Yarrowia lipolytica: one gene and its partner. The protein of the gene in region 1 purifies or fractionates together with the protein of each later gene. This does not show direct contact. Links are inferred from orthologs where the notes say so. Each region holds a gene or a part of one and is shown on either strand. Other genes may lie near its edges.

Region 1 (6,010 bases):
TTCGCACTCAGAGTACCGCTGCAAAAACTTGATCCAGCTCTGGTGTCTCGCCGCCAGTTTGAGCTCGCGCTTGGGATCAAATGTGTCGATCGTGCCATACTCCGAGTCCTCATCGAGATTTTCCATGAAGAACGACATAGCAGCAAGTGTAGCAATGGTGAAGTGTGAGCTGAAATCGAAACAATTAAGGTGGTATATGGGTGAGTATGTACTGTACATACTGTAGCTATAGTACATACAGTAGAGAGCTGGGGGAGTAAAGCAGAAGATATGATAGCACGAAAAGATGGTAGCACGAAAAGATGGTAGCATGAAGAGATGCTAACACATGCTAGCAACAAGTACAATATAGTACATACTGTACTGCTTTGTACCGATGGTATCAATACAGTAGTGAGATGGGGTTTAGGTGGTACGTTTATGTAAGTGGAAACAAATGATAGCTCACAGCACTAATGGGGGCTACGAAAGCGGACCTTGGATGCGATTAATACATAATGTTGGGAAGATCGAGACGATAATTTTGGTACAGTACCAAACATTAGTTATTTTCTGTACTTTTTCTGTGGCAAAATGCTCTCAGACAATTCATATATCCGTGTTTCAGTTGAATTTCACCAATTTCATGTGTTTTTGGAATTTTGGAAAAAGGGATTAAAAATTCATATCTTTCACAGCCTACTGGAACGTTTTTATATCAGTCACTATTTCTCAAAAGCTCTCAATCGTCCACCCATATTCCTCTCACTCAGAATTCAGTTGGTCAATTACTTTATCAGAGCTGTTTTGAGGGTGAGCAACCTCCCAGAAAGACAACTGAAATGTTACTGTATACAGTATGGGAGGGAATAGTGGCCGAACATTTTTTTTGAGACTTTGAAAAATATGAATAATTTGTATAAATTCGAAAAAAATATATAATTAATTGATACGAAACCATTGGAAAACAAATACCTCGCATTCCGATATCACTCTTTCTTCTTACACATAAAAAAAGGCTTCTCCTCTCCAGTCTCCTATCTCCAAAACTGCCTCCACACTTGACAAACTCTATCAAATTCGACTCTGCCAAAAACTTTTATTTTAGTTCCAACCAACCTCGGGGTTACCCGGCCGTCACGACGGGTGCACACAAGCTCTCTCTCGAACAAGGCGACACAGGATTTCAATCAGCACTGGAGGGGTGAACAACATGTCTGGTGAGTACGCGAGAGATCGGAAAGTCGGAGATATGACCGAGTGGTAGAGTCACGTGGCCCGGAGGCCTACGATGGGCCAGTGATCGAAGTGATAAGTGCTGGATCAGATGGTTTGTGAGAAGTGGCACAACAGCGATGACAGAGACCTATTGTTGTGGGATTGAGACAAAAGCGATGGAGGGAATCACCGTCGGCTTCTCGCCGTTGACAGACGTTTAAACGATGCTTCTACGGTGATTTGAGCCATTCGCCACCTATCACATATCATTCTATGTTATGACGGAGTCGAACATTGATCATCGTCAAGTCATTTGCCACCAACGACATCGACCAGGTGTCGCTACAGCTATGACACACACATTGATGTATTTGTTTCTCGCTCACTTTGTTTTCAGTAGCTCCATCTAAAGATGTCAATACGGTCACAGCGTCTTGATCCACCAGTCGTTGGCTTGATGATCACAGTACATCTGGTCCGGGTGCCCATCCAATGACCACAAGCAGGTAGCTGTGCGGTCTTGTGCAACAGTTGCTGGCTCGGGCGATACATCGAACAGCGCAGATCCCATCCACCTATCTTGCTGCTAACACAGAATACGAAGACCCGTACGGATACTACGAAGATACGGAAATCACCGCCGAGGACTGCTGGACCGTCATTTCCTCGTTCTTTAACGAAAAAGGACTCGTGTCCCAGCAGCTCGACTCCTTCGATGAGTTCATCGAAACCACCATCCAGGAGCTTGTGTGGGAGGACCGGACTCTGATCCTGGACCAGCCTGCCCAGCACACCACCCCTAACGACAACCAGAACAAGCGGTTCGAAATCACGTTTGGCAAAATCTACCTGTCTCGGCCCACCATGACCGAGGCTGATGGATCCACCCACCCCATGTACCCGCAGGAGGCCCGTGCTCGAAACCTGACCTACTCTTCTCCCCTCTACGTGGATATGAAGAAGCGGGTTCTGTTTTCTATTGACGACCCTGCCCGTCCCGAGGCCGATGTTGTGTGGAACCCCATCCCCGGTGAGGTCGAGGAGCCCGTGTCCAAGGTGTACATTGGCAAGGTGCCTATCATGCTGCGGTCCAAGTTTTGCATTCTGCGTGGCCTGCGGGAGAACGATCTCTACGAGCTGAACGAATGTCCCTACGATCAGGGAGGTTACTTTGTCATCAACGGTTCTGAAAAAGTGCTTATTGCCCAGGAGCGGTCTGCCGCCAATATCGTGCAGGTGTTTAAGAAGGCTGCACCCTCGCCCATCTCGCATGTGGCCGAGATTCGATCTGCCGTCGAGAAGGGCTCGCGTCTGATTTCGTCGATGCAGATCAAGATGTTTGGTCGAAGCGACAAGGGCCCCGTGACCATCAAGGCCGCGCTCCCTTATGTGCGGGCCGACATTCCAATTGTCGTTGTTTTCCGAGCCCTGGGCGTTGTGCCCGACGGAGATATTCTCGAGCACATTTGTTACGACAACAACGATTGGCAGATGCTGGAGATGCTGAAGCCGTGTATCGAGGAGGCGTTTGTGATCCAGGACCGAGAGGTTGCTCTGGACTATATTGGTCGACGAGGTTCGGCCGTCGGTGTGAACCGAGAGCGACGAGTACGATACGCCCGAGATATCCTGCAGAAGGAACTGCTGCCACACATCACCCAGGAGGAGGGTTTCGAGACCCGAAAGGCGTACTTCCTGGGCTACATGGTGCATCGAATGCTGCTTGTGGCTCTGGGTAGAAAGGAGCCCGACGATCGAGATCATTTCGGAAAGAAGCGACTTGATCTCGCAGGTCCACTTATGGCTGGTATCTTCCGAATGCTGTTCAAGAAGCTCACAAAGGACATTTACAGATACATGCTGAAGTGTGTCGAGACCAACAAGGACTTCAACCTGACTCTGGCTGTCAAGTCCAACACCATCACCAACGGTCTCAAGTACTCTTTGGCCACCGGAAACTGGGGTGACCAGAAGAAGGCAATGTCTTCACGAGCAGGTGTCTCCCAGGTGCTTAACCGATACACCTTTGCCTCGACACTGTCGCATTTGCGACGAACTAACACTCCCATTGGCCGAGACGGAAAGATTGCCAAGCCCCGACAGCTGCACAACACGCATTGGGGTCTGGTATGTCCCGCTGAGACTCCCGAGGGACAGGCTTGTGGTCTCGTCAAGAACTTGTCTCTTATGTCGTGCATCTCAGTCGGTACCCCTTCCTTCCCCATCATCAACTTCCTGGATGAGTGGGGAATGGAGCCTCTGGAGGACTATGTGCCTCATACGCACACCACCTCTACGCGTGTCTTTGTCAACGGTGTGTGGGTGGGCGTGCATCGAGACGCCACCCAGCTCACCGACATGATCAAGTCTCTGCGGCGAATGGGTGACATCGAGTCCGAGGTGTCGATCATTCGAGATATCCGAGAAAAGGAGATTCGAATTTTCACGGATGCCGGTCGTGTCTACCGACCGCTTTTTGTGGTCGAAAACAACCCCGATGCCGAGCGCAAGGGTGAACTGGTTCTGCAGAAGGACCACATTTATCAGCTGCAACAGCAGATGGCCGAACAGGCCGAGACTGAGGGCGACGAGGGCAAGGGCGACAAAAACACGGGCTGGAACTGGCTCGTCGACAATGGTGTGATTGAGTACATCGATGGTGAAGAGGAAGAGACGGTCATGATTGCCATGACTCCCGAGGATCTGGAGTTCTCGCGACAGATGCAGGCCGGCGTGGAAATGCCTGAGGACGAGCTTGACCCCGCCAGACGAGTCAAGCCCGCATACAACCCCCACTCGCACACCTGGACCCATTGTGAGATTCATCCCTCGATGATTCTTGGTATTCTGGCGTCCATTATTCCTTTCCCTGATCATAACCAGTCGCCCCGAAACACATACCAGTCAGCCATGGGTAAGCAGGCCATGGGCGTGTTCCTCACCAACTACGACGTGCGTATGGACACCATGGCCAATATTCTGTACTACCCTCAGAAGCCGTTGGCCACCACGCGGTCCATGGAGTTCCTCAAGTTCCGAGAGCTCCCCGCCGGTCAGAACGCCATTGTGGCTATTCTGTGTTACTCCGGTTACAACCAGGAAGATTCCGTGGTCATGAACCAGTCGTCTATTGATCGAGGACTGTTCCGATCGCTCTTCTTCCGTTCGTACATGGACCAGGAGCGACGAGTGGGTATGTCTGTGGTCGAGGAGTTTGAGAAGCCTACCCGGGCAGATACTCTTCGAATGAAGCACGGCACCTACGACAAATTGGACGACGATGGTCTGGTGTGTCCCGGAGTGCGTGTTTCCGGTGAGGACATTATCATTGGAAAGACGGCTCCCATTCCTCCGGACGCAGAGGAGCTTGGTCAGCGAACCAAGTACCACACCAAGCGAGACGCGTCCACGCCTCTGCGATCGACCGAAAACGGTATTGTTGACCAGGTGCTGCTGACCACCAACCAGGAGGGACTGCGGTTCGTTAAGGTGCGAATGCGAACCACCAAGATCCCCCAGATTGGAGACAAGTTTGCGTCGCGTCACGGACAGAAGGGTACCATTGGTGTGACGTACCGACATGAGGACATGCCGTTCTCCGCCGAGGGAGTGGTCCCCGATATCATCATCAACCCCCACGCCATTCCTTCGCGTATGACCGTCGCGCATCTGATTGAGTGTCTGCTTTCCAAGGTGTCGTGTCTGTCTGGTCTGGAGGGTGACGCCACTCCGTTCACGGATGTGACTGTCGACGCCATCTCCAAACTGCTGCGGTCCCACGGCTACCAGTCCAGAGGTTTTGAGGTCATGTACCACGGCCACACTGGTAAGAAGATTATGGCTCAGTGTTTCTTGGGTCCCACTTACTACCAGCGTCTGCGTCATATGGTGGATGACAAGATCCACGCTCGAGCACGTGGTCCTGTGCAAATTCTGACCCGACAGCCCGTCGAGGGTCGATCTCGAGAGGGTGGTCTGCGATTCGGAGAAATGGAGCGAGATTGTATGATTGCCCATGGAGCTGCCGCCTTCCTCAAGGAGCGACTCATGGAGGCGTCGGATGCGTTCCGAATCCACGTCTGCGGTGTCTGTGGCTCCATGAACGTGATTGCTAACCTGAAAAAGAACCAGTTTGAATGCCGATCGTGCCGAAACAAGACCAAGATTTACCAGGTCCAGATTCCGTACGCTGCGAAACTGTTGTTCCAGGAGCTGATGGCGATGAACATTGCTCCGAGATTGTTCAGCGATAGGAGTGGGTATAGTGTGAGAGTTTAGAGGAGATTCGAGGCGTAGCCAAGAGTCTCCCACTAGAAACTGCAGAGCAGAATCTCAGTCTCACACCGTAAGGAAACCAGGGAAGGTCCTGGTCTCCGTGTATTGTATGTAATAGTTAGAGGTTGGAATAAATGTATGATTATAAGAGGAACAGGAGGGTGTCTGAGTGTTTCTGGAGTAGGGCATGTATTGTAGGTGGTTACAGTACTGTACTGTGATTCATTGATAACACTGACTGATGCTGATTCAGGTAGTTCTGGATCGATGCTCAAAGAAAAATGTCAACAAAAAAATGATACCAGTTGTAGAAGTGCTGGATATGACGATAACGCAATCATTTGATATTGAAAGTGGTATTCCGTTTCGTTTCCTTGGGGTTTGACTTGAATTTCTCTCTTGCAATGTCTCTGACCACACAGTAGTAGACCATACAGTAGCACGCTGACCACACAGCCCATCTTTGTCTTCAACTTCTTCTCAAACAAATTCAGATATTTACTTTTTCTGTTATACTGTAGTTGTCACTCGAGACTCA
Region 2 (3,065 bases), on another chromosome or scaffold:
GCATGAAGACGCACGCCAGAGCCGTGGTAGGAAGGCCCATTCGTCGAGTAATGAGCTGGTCATTGAATGCATGCTCGTGATAGTCCTGAGTGAGCACGTCCAGAAACTTGCGGTACACTCTGGGACGGAAATTGTTGAATTTCGCAATGTACGAGTGCTTGAGCCAGTCGACAGCGACTTCGGAGCCCAGCACCACTAGAGCAGGACCCAGCAGAGCCCCTAGCCATCGATTCCAGCCCGACCACGACGATGGAACGAGACCCGTATTGGAGACCTCGACCACGTTCCGGAGTCCGATGGACACCAGTAGCACCCACAACTGGAACCGCTCGGTGATATCTGCACAGGTGAGCTGGAACAGAGACTCGCGTTCAAACCGCTTAAAAACGGTCGACTTGACCTCGTTGAACTGGTTGGACAACAGCAGGGTCAGCAGCGCGTTGGAGTACGAGTTGACGGCCACGTTGAGGGTCACAATCTGGTACAGCAGCACCCCTGAATGCACAGCCGAGTAAGCCATGTACAGACCCATGTATGTCGCGAGTCGCTGGTAGTTGTTGAGGGTGCCTGCGGAAAAGAGCGACTCCAGCACATCCAGACCCCAAGCCGCACACAGTTTGTCTGTGATTTCCAGCACGTTGAACATGACGTAGAGCTTCATGGCGTTCTGGCCTCTGATGTTGTGGTAGAGCTTGGAGGTGTCAATGAGCAGCAGGAAGGTCATTGTCGAAATGACAACCACAGCCTTGATGATGTCGCTCATGTTGGTCATGGTCACGTGGCGGGTCGACCGACGTTTGGCTATGCCCCATAGTACTGAGGCCACCTTGAGAGGCATGATTGTGACCGTGTAGAGGAAGGAGTCGAGGCAAGTGAGAAATCCAAAGGCCATGATCATCTCCAGATTCAGCGGCACCTTGATAAGCGACAGCAGGTGCTCATTTTTCTCCTCGGTGTACGGCTGTTCGCCCTGGAGGTGCACCTGGAGATAGTCCCATAATGAGCGTGGAACCGGCGGGTTTTCGGGCCGTTCAAACCCCTCAAAGTCTGAAAACGACAGCCGCGGACGCGACGGAGACGACAGAGACCGCCGCGGACGTATTCGGTCGCTTTTCGCCGACGTGTTGGTTCGCCTTCGCATTGTGGGGGATTTTGCAGTGAATAGGAGATGACATCAAATTAAAGTTTCCATCTGCCTGACGTCAATAGTGAGAGGGAAATACATGGGTGGATGTGGGCGGTAATTGGTGGGGATTAGAGAGTAAAAAGCTGAATGTGGACGTTATAAGACGTTGAATTAGTCAGCAGCTTCATGTTTGAAACTTTTCTGATCAAAATTACAAATCTACACCGGATTAATACTTTGTGCTAAAAACTTCTCCAGAAACCGCAATATTGGTCGAAATCGAATTCTGAAAGTGGCAATCTGATGTGCTGACCAAGCAAGGTCGTTTTGTGTATTGAGATATCTCCCTAGTTCTCTACATGGTCCTCCAGTTGTCCCCCCGTCTCTTGTCGTATTAACGTACGTCTGGCTGCAATGCGGGTCACTGGTCTCTGTTGCAGACCATTTAAACTCAGCATCTTGACCACCTAGCAAGGCAGACGACAGCAACACGATTGAGAGTGGCGGTAAAAAAAAACCGCAAAAATCGGAAAAAAATCGAGAAAATCACGAAACCGCCGATAATCACATCCACGACGGCAACCAAACGACCGCAATTTTTCAAACGGCTTCAAATACACCCCATTTGACGCGTAATCACACCACCCACAACAACCCCCACACATTCATGTTGCAACTACGCGAGGAAATCGAAAAGCTACGAACTCGGTTTGGAAACACGGGGTCTGAGCCGCCAAACCTGCAGCTTTCTGCACTCATCACGATCGCCGTGATCGAGGCTCTGTCGGCGAAGAAAACCGACATCCAGACCTTCAAGTACGCGTCGCGATACCTCACCCCCGAGGTGTACGACGAGCTGGTTGGCGAACGCACTTACGAACACATCTGCGGGTACCCTCCGTGCGGACTGGTGCCCAAGTCTGCGTCGGGCAAAAACAAGATTCTCGGCACGCTGGCCCAGAACCAAAAGTTTGACGTGCCGTGGGCGTATCTGCGGACCTTTTGCAGCAAGCAGCACTACCAGGCGAGCCAGTTTTATCGTGCACAGCTGTCGTCGGACCCTCTGGACCTGCGAGGCAGCATCTGGGGCGACTATGGCTCGTGCAAACAGTACGAGGGCAGCATCATCCTGCTGGAGGAACTGACGTCGGACGCCCAGCAGGGCAAATCCATGGCTGAGATTGTGGAGGGGTTCACGCAGATGTCGCTCAAGGACCCCGAGCTCGCTAGGATGAACATTCCTGCCAACGGAGACGAGATCACCAAGCTGGGCAAGGAGATCCAGGAGATTTCGCTGAGAGAGCGCGAGGACGACGAGAATGACGTGGAGCCAGACTACGAGTCGTTGGAGGACATGAGTAGTAAGGATAAGGCCAGTGCTATTGAGGGCTATAAGCCGAGAATCCAGTGGAGATAGCGAGACGGATTGAGGAATCTATCATGACAGGTTGAGGCAACGTCGACATCAAGTTGTGGATTCCTGACGATAACATGAGACGGGAATCGCAACAAGATCTGAAACAGTGACAGCTGGGTTTTAGACTGGATTCGGCAACACTGACAGGTGCACCACATGTTCGACTAGAACGCCCAGCTCCACATAGCGGCTTAGACATACGCCACAGCAGGAGACAGTGGAACATTGCCCACCACTGTCACACTCTCCGAGGTGGTATAATTTCTAGTGTCTGAATGGGTGACTCTCTGGAGTTAGGTCTCCTCTCTATCTTGCGCTGTGATCTCCCAGAGTATCATCTTCTGATCTGTCAGGCTTCCAATACCGTCTCCATGAACAGGCGAGTGGTCTCATTGCAAAGTGCAGGAATTCGGCCTCCACGCTCGTCTCCTATTTATATGGCTACTAGCTGATATGGAACAAATGTATATTACGATGAGGTATAAACAAAAAAGCGACGGGTTCAGGAGTGAGTAGATACGG

Evidence for each region.
Region 2: the proteins of YALI1_D04680g (region 1) and YALI1_B00280g purify together in Saccharomyces cerevisiae (affinity purification with mass spectrometry; 5 studies listed by BioGRID, with this or other methods). This does not show direct contact. The link is inferred for Yarrowia lipolytica from reciprocal best matches to the Saccharomyces cerevisiae genes RPB2 and RTR1.

What each region holds. Positions count from the first base shown.
Region 1 is NC_090773.1:465,961-471,970, forward strand, and holds YALI1_D04680g (DNA-directed RNA polymerase II subunit RPB2), read left to right. Parts: upstream 1-2,061; coding exon 2,062-5,475; downstream 5,476-6,010. Other genes in the region: YALI1_D04653g (uncharacterized protein), read right to left, coding at 1-219.
Region 2 is NC_090771.1:26,235-29,299, forward strand, and holds YALI1_B00280g (uncharacterized protein), read left to right. Parts: upstream 1-1,793; coding exon 1,794-2,543; downstream 2,544-3,065. Other genes in the region: YALI1_B00273g (uncharacterized protein), read right to left, coding at 1-1,141. UniProt on the Saccharomyces cerevisiae protein: RNA polymerase II subunit B1 C-terminal domain (CTD) phosphatase that dephosphorylates 'Ser-5' of the CTD and regulates RNA polymerase II during the transition from 'Ser-5' to 'Ser-2' phosphorylation.